Linked DNA regions of Oryzias latipes. The protein of the gene in region 1 interacts with the protein of each later gene in a biochemical or structural test. Links are inferred from orthologs where the notes say so. Each region holds a gene or a part of one and is shown on either strand. Other genes may lie near its edges.

Evidence for each region.
Region 2: the proteins of uba1 (region 1) and ube2j1 form a complex in vitro, tested with the Homo sapiens proteins (2 studies listed by BioGRID, with this or other methods). The link is inferred for Oryzias latipes from reciprocal best matches to the Homo sapiens genes UBA1 and UBE2J1.

The regions. Positions count from the first base shown.
Region 1 is NC_019865.2:13,789,276-13,795,243, reverse strand, and holds the end of uba1 (ubiquitin-like modifier-activating enzyme 1), read right to left. Parts: intron 4,971-5,968; coding exon 4,896-4,970; intron 4,812-4,895; coding exon 4,622-4,811; intron 4,516-4,621; coding exon 4,430-4,515; intron 4,048-4,429; coding exon 3,955-4,047; intron 3,421-3,954; coding exon 3,229-3,420; intron 3,137-3,228; exon of another isoform or gene 3,016-3,136; intron 2,915-3,015; coding exon 2,813-2,914; intron 2,727-2,812; coding exon 2,626-2,726; intron 2,544-2,625; coding exon 2,408-2,543; 3' UTR 1,491-2,407; downstream 1-1,490. Other genes in the region: rho guanine nucleotide exchange factor 3, read right to left, coding at 436-480, 561-609, 848-885. UniProt on the Homo sapiens protein: Catalyzes the first step in ubiquitin conjugation to mark cellular proteins for degradation through the ubiquitin-proteasome system.
Region 2 is NC_019882.2:20,274,626-20,280,593, forward strand, and holds the end of ube2j1 (ubiquitin-conjugating enzyme E2 J1), read left to right. Parts: intron 1-820; coding exon 821-950; intron 951-1,036; coding exon 1,037-1,168; intron 1,169-3,108; coding exon 3,109-3,387; 3' UTR 3,388-4,542; downstream 4,543-5,968. UniProt on the Homo sapiens protein: Catalyzes the covalent attachment of ubiquitin to other proteins. Functions in the selective degradation of misfolded membrane proteins from the endoplasmic reticulum (ERAD) and is essential for cells to recover from ER stress.

The sequences.
Region 1 (5,968 bases):
TGGAAAAAGTTGAGGAAAACAGAGAGAAGGCAATGTTGAGAGGGTTAAAATGTTGCATGGTGCAGCCTTCTCATTTCCTGTGTGAGTCTTTCGAAGAGGAAGAAGGTTCAAAGCGTGCCTCTGTAGTTAAACAATAAAAATGACTGCCTTTTAACCTCCACATTTGCAGTGCAGCAGTGGTGAAATGCAGTTGGTCAAATAGGGATTTTTAAGGAAAGCAAATATGACGCAAGACAATAAAGTGGACAGACCACAAAAGCTCAAAGTGGGTTTTATATTTAAAAAAAAAAAAAAAAGTTCTGCTGAACACAATGCGCATTTCTTTGTCAGTTCAGCAGTCAGCATTGTGGTCACAAAGGTAAAGTTGACTAACTTCCGCCTCTTACTGAGAAACAGAGACGATTATGATAGGAAGCTGCTCGGCTTATTTCTCACCTCAATGATTCTTATCACAGCTTCGGGATCTTGTTTTCTCTTTTTCTGAAAGAAAAAAATATGATCAGCTTTTTCCCCCCCTTTTAATTTATAACTCAAATGAATGAATAAAGGCAGATTCTTACCCCAGCATGATCACAAACAAATGTGTGACTGTCGCCTGACATGTCAGACCTAAAAAGGAAAAAAGGTTCCCAAAGAAAAATAAAATTATTCAATCAAAAAGATTTAAAATAATCTAAAAGATCTCATTTCACCCTAAATTAGTTTGTGATTATACAACAAGAAACTGGTTCACTGATGATGCAGCAAGTATAGACTAAAAAAATAAATAAAATTACCCAAAAAACTCAAGTCACCCTGTTTTATCAATTAACAGATGGAACACAGAAGGAAAAAAAGTTGATCGTACCAGGAAGTCCTCGATTCATCAGTCGCCTCCACTTCCATGTTAGTTTCTTCAAAGCATCTTCACAATATCACTGGACATTTTGAACACGAGTGGCAATAATCCAGATTTGAGGTAGTTTCTGTGCAGGCCCGAACGCAACCTGTTTGCATTCGGGGTGTTAAAAGCTCAACACACTCCTTCCTCTTCACTTTCTTCCTCATCTTACAGCTTACCACATCCTTTAGGGGTTGCACAGAACTCGCATATCCGCTCTTCTCAGGGAGGAGTGCTCAAGCTTCACGCTAAGCTCATCACCGAAATCTCATTTCTCCTCCAAATGTTCACAAAAATTTGTTGTGGAAAAATTGTAAATTGCTGAAGTGAAATAATATTTGACGTAGAGTGTCATATTAGACTGTGGTTACCAACTGATCTAGTTTTAGAAAACTTAAATATCACATAACCTACAGACATTTTTTCCACAGTAAATAGTCAACCAGTCTTTTAGCTGGTGAAGCTTATTTCCTGCATGTGATGCTCCACTTCACTGCTGAGCAGCATAAACCAGACTAGACTCAATAACCAAAGCAGACAACACACATAATTAAAATCAACGTCACACATTTTTACTGAATCAACTGAAAAGAAAAGACAGACACACAGGCGAGTTTTTCCATGTTTATTCACTATAACACTAAGTGCTCCCATTCAAGATACATCTCAACGCTTCGCTCTTAGATTTAATTAATTTTGGAGTTAACAAAGTAGAAAGACAGTTTGATGATCTACCAACTGTGTGCCAAAACTCCTTCCAAACACCCCCCCCTCCCAGAAAATAAAATAAAATGGAACAAAACACATGACATGGAGAGCATCAAGAGAAAACTATTGTGGTGTGCAGCAGCCTGAAGAAAGCCAGAGTGCTGAAACGAGGCTTTGAGGGTGCTTCAAAGTGAAGGAAGGGAAGGAAATTCATCAGTTTGATGCTGTAATTCCATTTCCAGTTGAGGAACAAAAAATAAAGGGAGAATTGGGTTTTTACGTTGTTGAATAGCCTTGATTTAAAAAAAAAAAATCATGTATTAAAAAGTAACAGTATGAGGGGACAGATCTATTAGAAATGGGCTCCAGAAGAGAGGAGAGCAAGCAGGGTGTGTTTGAAAGCTCTGCTTCAGAATGATAGTTAGGTGTTATTGTACATACAGACTAGTTGGGCTTTGCAATGAGGGCACCGAGGCTTTTGAAGTTTAAAGGTTCTACTACAGAAAAACATTAGGATGTCCAATTTACATGCTCCCTCCCTCTCTCCAACAAATCTCCTCTTCCCACAGTCAAGCACAGAGTGGAACTGTAACACACAGACAGGTATCCTTCTGTCAGCTTACTGGGGCTATGTACAGTCAGGCACAGGTTTAAACAAACCACGGGCCTAAAAAAGGAAACCAATTGATCCAATAGAGCCGATCTGGATCAATCCACCCACCCTTTGTCACACCACTATTTCCCCACTAAGAACACCCCCATTCCTTGCATCCCCCCCTAGCAACTACCACCCTCCTGTGGGTGGTCTCCGGGTGAGGCTCAGCGAATGGTGTATCTGACGTAGGGCACTTCCACATCTTCATCTGAAGTATCGTTACAGCAGAGCTCGAACACCAGAGCTTTAACGTGCTTGCCCAGCTTCTTTTTGGACACCTTGGTCACAATCTCAGTCATCCTGCAGAAATCAGAACAGGAAAAACTCAGTTTGTGGAAGGAAAACGTAAAGAGGCTGGACTCTCGCGTATGCAGTTACTTACGGTAGGTCAAGCCTCTCTTTAAGCTTGGCAGCGGGCATGAAAAATGAATAGAGCATGGACACTCCCTGAGAAAGCATGGTGATCTCCAGCTGATGCTCGTTCTGCCAAACAGGGGAGAAAAAACAAAGTTACTCATTGCAAAAACAAAAAAAGTTGGAGAAGAAGCACCTAAATTTGCTGAACATACTTTAAAGTAATCCAGAAACTGGCGGAGTGTCATCTCTTCACCGTTGGCCTGCATTCCTGTTACTTCAAAGCGATCCCACAGACTCCATTCAGTTTCATAGTACTGGAAATAAATGAAAAATAAAGTTACAGCTACTGTAGGTAAAAAAAATAGACATCACACAGAGCTGCAACAATGCTATAAGCGCATATTTGGTAAACACGTCTCCTCAGCACACACTGATCACACCAGTGTGAGAAGGTGAGTTGAACTCACTTGCATCCAGTCAGAGTTAATGCAGCTGACTGATGCATCAGTATTAGCATGGCTGAATCATCACAGGAGCCAGAAGCAGACTAAAACTTTATCACTGTGTCACAATCGTCACACGTTTTATAATCTTTACAAACTTGTGGGATAAAACAGCAACACCTCACCTTATGTTTTGGAGCAGCAATGGGCTCAGAGTAGGCAAAGAAAGGCAGGGCTAAGTTCATGAAACCATTCTTGTACGTCTCAAGCTTCTTGTGTCCTTGCACGACCTTGATGAGCTCCAGGCAGACCAGGCCAACAACTGCAGCGGTGGTGGTGGCAATGGCAGGAATGATCTTGCCGGCAATCAGTTTGCTCTGGAAAGAACAGTAAACCAAAAGAGAAATTCACAATCGATCAGCTAATGAACGGAGGTTAAACAATGAATGAAAAACACTCACTTTGGTTTGCTTAACATTTCTAATTTATAAAAAACATACAGACCAAGTTTGAGGACGTTTTATATGTCACAATCACTCCTTCCAAGGTTAATTGGTTACTCTAAATTGTCTCTCACATAAGTGTGAATGTGAGAGTGCATGGGTGTGATTGGGGCCCTGCGACAGACTGGCGACCTGTCCAGAATGTCCCCAGCCTTCACCCGCAAGTGGCGGGATAGGCTCTGGCATCGCCGTGACCACAAAAGGGAATAAACAAATTAGAAGATGACCGAATGACTCCTCCCTTCACCAGTCCAGAAAAATTCAGACAGATACATTATTGAAAGAGAAAGAACAGGGGAAAAAAACTTAAAGTATTTCTGCCCAGAGGTTTTGCTATGCGAGAATCAAAAAAACAAAAAGACGCCCTTGTTAGTTGGCCAAATGAGGTCATGTGAATGTTTAGCCCACCTTGTGTCTGTCTGCAGGCGGAATGTCATAGTTCTCTGCTCTAAGGTTGGATGCGGCCACAATAAAGTCCATGTGGAAGTTGGTGTCATCATCCTGGAGGGGCAGAAATAAAACCATTTTTAAAACATTTCTTCTCGGGTGATCCATGTTCTTCCTACACTACAAAATAAATGAGGCTGTAGCAAGTAAAAGGGGGTAATTTAGTGATAAATAGAATGACATTTTCTAAATACAAACACACAACGGGGTTCATTTGCATAGAGAATCACGTTATTACGACATACAAACTAATAATGACATTCACGTTTCATTCATCTAGTAAATCGATTTTTACTTCTACGTTCCTGTATTATTTTGATGACAACAAAAAAATATACAGAATTACTTTTTACATTTTTTTTTAGAAATGACAAACATTTGTAACATGACGATCAAAGAAAGACTGATTATGTCTGACGTGAAAGAAATTGAGTACCTTTTCAAACTCGATGGGGTTTAATTTGAACTGGAAAGACTCTGGTGACGGCAATTTGGTTTTTAGTTCTTCCAGTTTAGAGTCATCTGCATTAAAGAGATCCATGTCACAATAGGCCTTCAGCAAAGACAATTATACACAAACATTTCTGAAAGATTTTCAATGCTGTCTTGTGCATAAATACGGTCTTACCAACAGAAGAGTTGCTCGATTGCAGCTCCTGGTCTGAGACGTGAATTTTAACCCCAGAACGGGGGGTAAAAGTGGGCACCTTGACCTCTTGCAAAATCTTGACCAGTCCTGCACGGTCGGTGCTACCTGGCAGACCATACATCTGCGCAAACAGGTTAGCAGCTGCCAAAACATAATCCATGTGCAAGTCCTGGAGACAAAGGCTAAATGTTAATAATTTGAATCTTTTTTTGAGGAGGAATACTTTTGAAGACGGTGAAAAGCGCATATTTACATTGCTAGTGCTGAATTCTAGGGGATGAGGACACCTCTTTGGGCCAGACCAGAAAGGTGCACCTGAGCTGGTGAGCTGCAAGACAAATATCTTCTTTAGACATATGGGACTCAAGATACATCTGAAAAAGTTTAGGAGCTCAATGTTTAGATTGGGTGCAACTTCATGAAGTAAAATGTAAACAGAAAAACAAGAAAATATAAAAAGAAGTCCCTGTAAAAGCATTTCCAGATATTTTTTCAGTCCGATTATGCGGTTTTTAGACAAAAATCAAGAAAACGGTTGTTTTCTAGGGCAGTTTCTGCAGAGCGGCAGGAGTTCAGTAGAAATTCACCTCTAAGCTGCGGACAGGGCTGTTGACGCGGAGTGAGCCTGACTCATTTCCCATCAACCCTTTGTTTACACCCTCTCCTGCTAGCTTACAACCTCTCACAACCCCAACCTAACATTACCAGTGCAACAAAATGGGGGCGCTTTATTAAGTCAGACTTTATTTATCCTCATTGAAATGTATTCACAACTCAAGTCCTTTCATTGATGACATATGTAATTCTGCCACAGAATGGTTAAAGATCTAGGGTCCAGATTGTTGTTTGCCTTTTATTTTAATTTATGCTGAAAGTTGTTTTTAATATTTTTTTATATATGTATAAATTTTTGTTTTCTTTTGTTCTTTGTTTTTGTGAAAAGCAGTGCCTTGCATCATTGTGTGGTTGTGTCTCCAAGAGTTTTGTAATGGTTATATTTTAATTAAAAAAAATAAAAAAATGTGGGCGCTTTTTAGAGCTATCCAGCCATACAGTTTTGCGCCAGACGCCAGCTGAGGAAAATGAGGACATTTGTCTGCATCAGAATGGGAGGGAACTTGTGGCCTGCCGACTGTATTTTGTATGGAACAACTGCGAGCTTTTTCAAATAGCAATTGTTAATCTGCTCATGATTCACTACAATTTAAATAAGGAAAAACTCAGGAATGCAGTTTTAAGCTTAATTTTCTTCATATACGTCCTTCACCATGACAAACATGCTACAAGAACACGTTAAACAACAACACAATTTTCATTTGGATGGCT
Region 2 (5,968 bases), on another chromosome or scaffold:
GTTTAGGGCTATAAAACTCCCTACACCCTTTCTACATTTTTACCAGACAGACATGAACATTTTCAAACTTTTCTCTCAAATCCTTCAATAGAAAAAAAGTCTAGTCTGGTCCAAACAAAGATCTGATCGTGATGAAGATTTATGTATCTGGCAAACTGAACACATTCTGGTCAGGAGACAGCACAGAGGAGATTGATTGACAGAGTCAAAGTGCGCTGTATAAATAAGACAGATTTGCTTTGCTTTTACAGAGGTGAAAGTCTAAAGCAAACCAAAACTGAAGCGGACTAGACTGTGCCACAGTTACAAAGCGAGTCACAGGGATTCTGTAATGTCCGACCAAGACTGGAATGAAAGCAAGAAGTAGAAAAAGCAGCTAGTCCTTCTTTGCTTTTCTGTGTCTTCATCCTAAAGCCTTCCCAGCACACCGCCGGTCACATGCATGTTTGTTCGTGGGCTGAAGTGTTCAGACAAGCCATTCTGACTGATGTGAATTCATTAGGTCTATTGTTACAGACCATTACAGCCAGTGACATCCACATAGACCTGCTGATGTTTGGTCTGACCCCGCTGTGGGTAAATCTGTGCCGGGAATGTCAAACACAGCTCAGATGGATGCATGAGGAGCAGCAAGTCATGACCGTGTCAATAGACTCGCTTTCCCTGCAGGTGAAGGCATTAATCACAGTAGCAGTATTTGATGATTTGATGGTTTTCCCTCGCCTGACGGGAGAGTTGTGCTGTCCAGTGTCTGCATTGGGTAGAGAAACGGGGAACTGCGGGAGGTAGAGCTCAGTCTGTCCCACTGGTTCTCTGGCAGGTCCCAGGACTTCTGCTGTGAAAGCTGCAGCTGCTCCATGCGCACCGCTCTGCTCCCGCCGACAGCCAACAGCAACCCCAGCGCCGAGGACCACAAGGCCCAGGAGCTGGCTCAGCAGATCAACTTCAAGGTTCAAACGGCCGTAGCTTGAAAGGCAGTTCATCATTTTACGCTCCTCTGCATCCATGTCAATGAAGCAATGACGCACGTTTTCAGGCTGAATCCAGCTCGCCCCCTCAGGCCAGTGCGAGCGGACCTGCAGGCGGCGAGGAGCTGTCGGCACTCCCCCAGCAGGACACGTCCTCACCCGCTGGCCAGGAAGCGGCTGAGACGCCGCAGGCTGAACAGGTGGGTGTCCGGCTGCTGCCGAGGCCGCTCACGGCTGCAGCCTTTATTTTGGAGGACGTAAGAGGTAGAGTTGCCAAAGGCAATTATGTCGTCTGCTTGTCAGCTTTAGTTCCTGACTTTAATCAACCAGTCAGACATCAGCTCCGCCTCCAGCAGCAGATGCAATTTAGAGGTTTGAAGTGAGTTTTTTTTCCCTCATCAGCAGCTCCTCCAGCATGTGTGAGCTGCGTTGCCTAAGAGGATTGATTTTGGTGCCAGATGCTGTTCACACAGAGACTGAAGCAGCAGAGACGAGGGTCAACTTAGATTACTGCTTCTGCGCTTGGATCAACTGAAAAGGCCAGAATGGGAGCAACCATCTGCTGCTGCAGACTGGGTGGCCCACTTTTTACCCACAGAGCTCCTCACCGGTTTTTCCATTAGTTTAGAAATATTAAATATTTGCAACCAACCTTCCACAAAGTGAAACCTCATAGGCCTATGCAAATGTCATCATCCACTGAACAGAGTATCAGCAGGTGACTCAGAGAAATTGAAGACGTCTCTGTGCATCAGGGACAAAGACTATTATTGGATGCCCATCATCAGCAAGGCTGATTCAGTGACATTACTGCAGGGGAGCTGTGGAATTAACACTAAAATGTGCAGAATATCCATCTCCAAATAATTCCTTCAATTGGTCTTAACTTTTTAGTTTCATAATTTAATCATCTTCAGTCTGACGATAGAAGAGCTGATGTTCCAGGACATCTTTACGTCATAGTTTAACTCTCACCACCTAGCTAAAGTGATAATCCTGCCCCTGTTAGCCCTCCAAGTCTCAATGCATTGCCTAAAGCTACATTCACAGCGAATGCGATTTGTGTCAGTGGCGTCCAGTTTTAATGTTATGTCACCTTACAGACGTGATCAGAGGTCCTACAGCGCAATTTGAGCGCTACGCACAGGAATCTGGCCAGCAGGTTTTGCGCGGTGAAACAACACGACACAGCGGCTAATACATTGTTTCACGTTTCGAGTTCAAATTTCGAAACTTTGTCAAAGAATTCCCATCGCATTCATTCCAACCAGGACTCCGCTTTGGCCTGTGTCATGTTCAGTGGGTGGAGTCCAAAACCAACATGGAGGAGAGTCTGATTCTTCTTCTCCTTAACTTTATGATATTTTTCTAATTTGCATCCTCTAATTTTATTCTTATTAGTCTTTTTCGCTCCTGGGTCTAAAGCGGGACAGCAATTCATCAAACTGGGTCACAGAGAGACAATAGAGCTGCTAAAAACGCCGTCATTCAGGCATAGTAGTAGAGGATGACCTCGCCGTACCGGGACAGTCTCTGATCTCTCACCTGCATCCGTTTCCATGTAGGAAAGAGGCTAAAAGTTCTAGGCGGTAGCTCCTCCCACACAGTGTTCATACACCAGCAGGTGTATGAACACATTTTTGGACTGTAAATATTAATCGTATCAATATTTCTCTATGCTATTTGCTCTGCCTGAAAACTCTATTTCAATTAAGCTGCAATACAGTCCAGAAACAAGACTTTTAATAGAATAAATTTTTTTTTACAATAATCAAATTAAATTAAATAAAAGACTAAAAGGCTACTAAAACTCGATCGGGGAAGTTTTACAAGTCTTTAGCTTTTGGGCCTTTTTGTAAACTAGAAGTTATACATTCTAGCAACAAAATAAGTGTAATAACTAGTGTCCAATAGGGGGCAGTAGTTAGTGCAGCGGAAAACAGCGGAAAAAACATCAAAGACTGTTAGTTATGGAAACTGTTTGTGTCTGTTTGTAATTTCTTCTGGATTAAGAAAAGATTTTAGCTAACGTTTCCTGTGCAGAAGAATCGCTAAACATCATGATGTAATTGTTACTCCAGATCATCTCCAACATGATTGGTGGACGTCAGTCACTGCATTCTGTTTGTCCTGTTTTCAGGCAGAGGGACCAGAGGAACCAGAGGAACCCCAGCCCCCTGCCCCTGTGGACTCCATCGATTCTGTCCGGCAGCGCCGCTCCCCGCAGCAGCCCGGCTCGAGAGACAGCATTCAGGTGGCGGCCAGCAGGGTGGCGTCCGTCCCGGCGCCCCGCCAGCCTCTGGACCAAAGCCACGCCGGCTCTGCCGTCCTCATCCTGGTGCTCACACTGGCTCTGGCGGCCCTCATCTTCCGCAGGATCTACCTTGCCAACGAGTACAACTTCAACTACGAGTTGTGACCACGACCCCATCCTCCTCAATTCAGACTCAGAGGTCAGCTGGAGTGGAAGCAGAGCTGAGGCAGCAGCTGACTTTCTGCCCTCGCTGCTCAGCCAACAGGAAACCTCCTCCGGGGGGGGGGGCACTGCACATCACAGCACCTCCTTTTAATCAGTGTGAATTTGAACCCCCCTCCTTAGAACAGGAGGCTTGTTGTTTAGGATTCAGCTCAGCGTCTCCCACTTGTAACTGCGGTGCACCCCGCGGCTGCTTTCGTTCCCATTATTTAATTACAATTGTAATATGTCAGAACATGGAATTATGGGAAATTTCCTCAGACACAGCCAGAGAATCCTCCGAAGGCCACGAGTTAAGCTCCTGTCCAGTTTTAATGGGGCCAACAAACGGCAGAAGCGTTTTCCATCCGTCACCTGGAGTGAACGTGCTGCATTAGTTTTAGTTTCTTTAAGGTGGGGGGGCTCTTTCAGAATAAATGCATTCGTTTTAAATGGTGTGAAGCTTTTAAATCAGCGGGGCGGCTCTTTAATGGAGCGAGCAGCAGCTCTTCCTCACTGCCTGAGCACCGCCTGCCTCTGTGATCGTGTTGGCGTGGAGGGGTGTCCCTGCAGGGGGGGGGGTTCACGCTGCAAACCAGCCAGCAGCAGAGAACTCCCAGATTGTAATTTCTGGACCATTTAATCCGTCATACTTTCAATCTTTAGTGGTGGTTCATCAGCAGCAGCAGTTCTCACTCTTCATTTTTGTTTAAAGGCACCCCGTTGTTCTTTACCCCTTCATAGCGCCCCCCAAAGGCTGACAGGGAGGGTTCAGCTTTCACATTTTCTACATCAGAGTTCCAGGTTGACATGAACGCAGCTCTGAGGTTCCACTTGTGCGGCCTTTGATGCTTCATGCCTGATGGTCGTCTCTGCAACCTGCTGCTGAGCTGCACAGCCTTCAGTCACATTTAGGAAACAGGAAGAAGATAAGGGGCTTTGCTCGTCACTCAGCAGCCGCTCCCATGTTCATCTGCTTTGTCAGACGAAGAACCCTAAAGACAAACGTTTAGTCAAACCCGCCAGGTCAAGACTAAACACAGTAAATCCTTCTTTTCAGACTTTCTTGGAATTCATAATTGGGTCTTATTGTTTAATAAAGTTATTTAAAGTTTTAAATGTGTCTGTTTTCTGTCTATATTTAGCAACCATATATTTATACTCATTTGAACCGCAGTCCCAACTACGTTGGCAGAAAATACAATCTGATTTTTCATCGTAGACACAGTTATTTACAAGAGTGAGATTATGGTTCAAACCTTAAAGTTATTTTCCTAATCGTCGATAAGTAAAGGAAATTCAACAGAGGAAGCTGATGATATCTGCAGAGGAAAAGGATGGAGACTCACATGTTTGTGGAAACATCAAATAAAGGAAACCTGGTTCATCCAAATGCCACAAAGACAAAACTGGAATAAATGCTACATTTGCTAAATGAATTTTATTAATGCTATTAAAAAATATATATATATTTTTAATAATAGGACAAAAAATTAATGACTGTAGTGGAAAAATAGCAAGAGAAAAATGTGTACAATCCCTGAAACTGGCCAAATATTAACCAAAGAAAACCAATAAAAAAGGTAATCAACAAAACTAAAGTTTGTCTTTTTCATAAACAGGCTAATTCTTAGTCTGATTACAGTGCGGCAAAAAGGTATGTAAACACACAAACACACTGTGATTCTCCCACTTAGAAATCATGGAGACGTCTGACATTTTCATTTAAGCTGCATTTCCACTGTGAGAGACATCATCTAGAAAAATAATCTGGAAATCACATTGTATGATTTTTATATAATTTATTTGTATTCAACATTAAGGAATAAAAGCACAATATACATATTTTTTAGTGTTCCAAAGATTTACAATTCATGGTGAAATAGCTGAAGAATGTGTGTGAAGCAGAACAAAAACAAGAGCAAAGCCTCAGCTGGAACACAACATAACAATATGAGCCGAACCTAAATGTTGAGGAGCTTTTGCTTTCATAACTGTGCTGACACTGTAACAAATGCAGCCAAAGCAGCTTTTTCTGCAGATTCCTGGACCATGAAAACTCTTCTTGATTTTATAAGATAACATTTTTGTGGCAAATCCAGTCTTTTAGGGAAAAACCTGAGGTTTTCTGGTACAGGGCTGTGGTTGTCCTCAAAAAGAGTAGGGATTTCGTTTGTTTTGAAAACTTTCATGATAAAAATCTGTTTGCCTGTCTACAACTCACTTTGGTCTACTTCACACAAAAGGACTTATTTTTGCAGATAATCAAAGTTCTTCCATGTTTTCTCTCTCAAACATTTGACTGCAATGGTTGTTCTTTTCTTCTCTGCTCTCATTGACGTCACTTCTTCCTCTCAGCTCAGCACTGTCCATCCTCATTAAAGGGCTTGAATAAAATCCTAAAACAGTGTTTGTGTGTTGGACCGATCCCTCTCATCCACTTGTGATTAACTTGTTGGAATTGTATCTTTTTTCTGCATCAGCTCTGATGGGTTTGCCGGAAATGTTATTTGCGGCGCTGAACAAGGCGGCGGCTGACAGACCT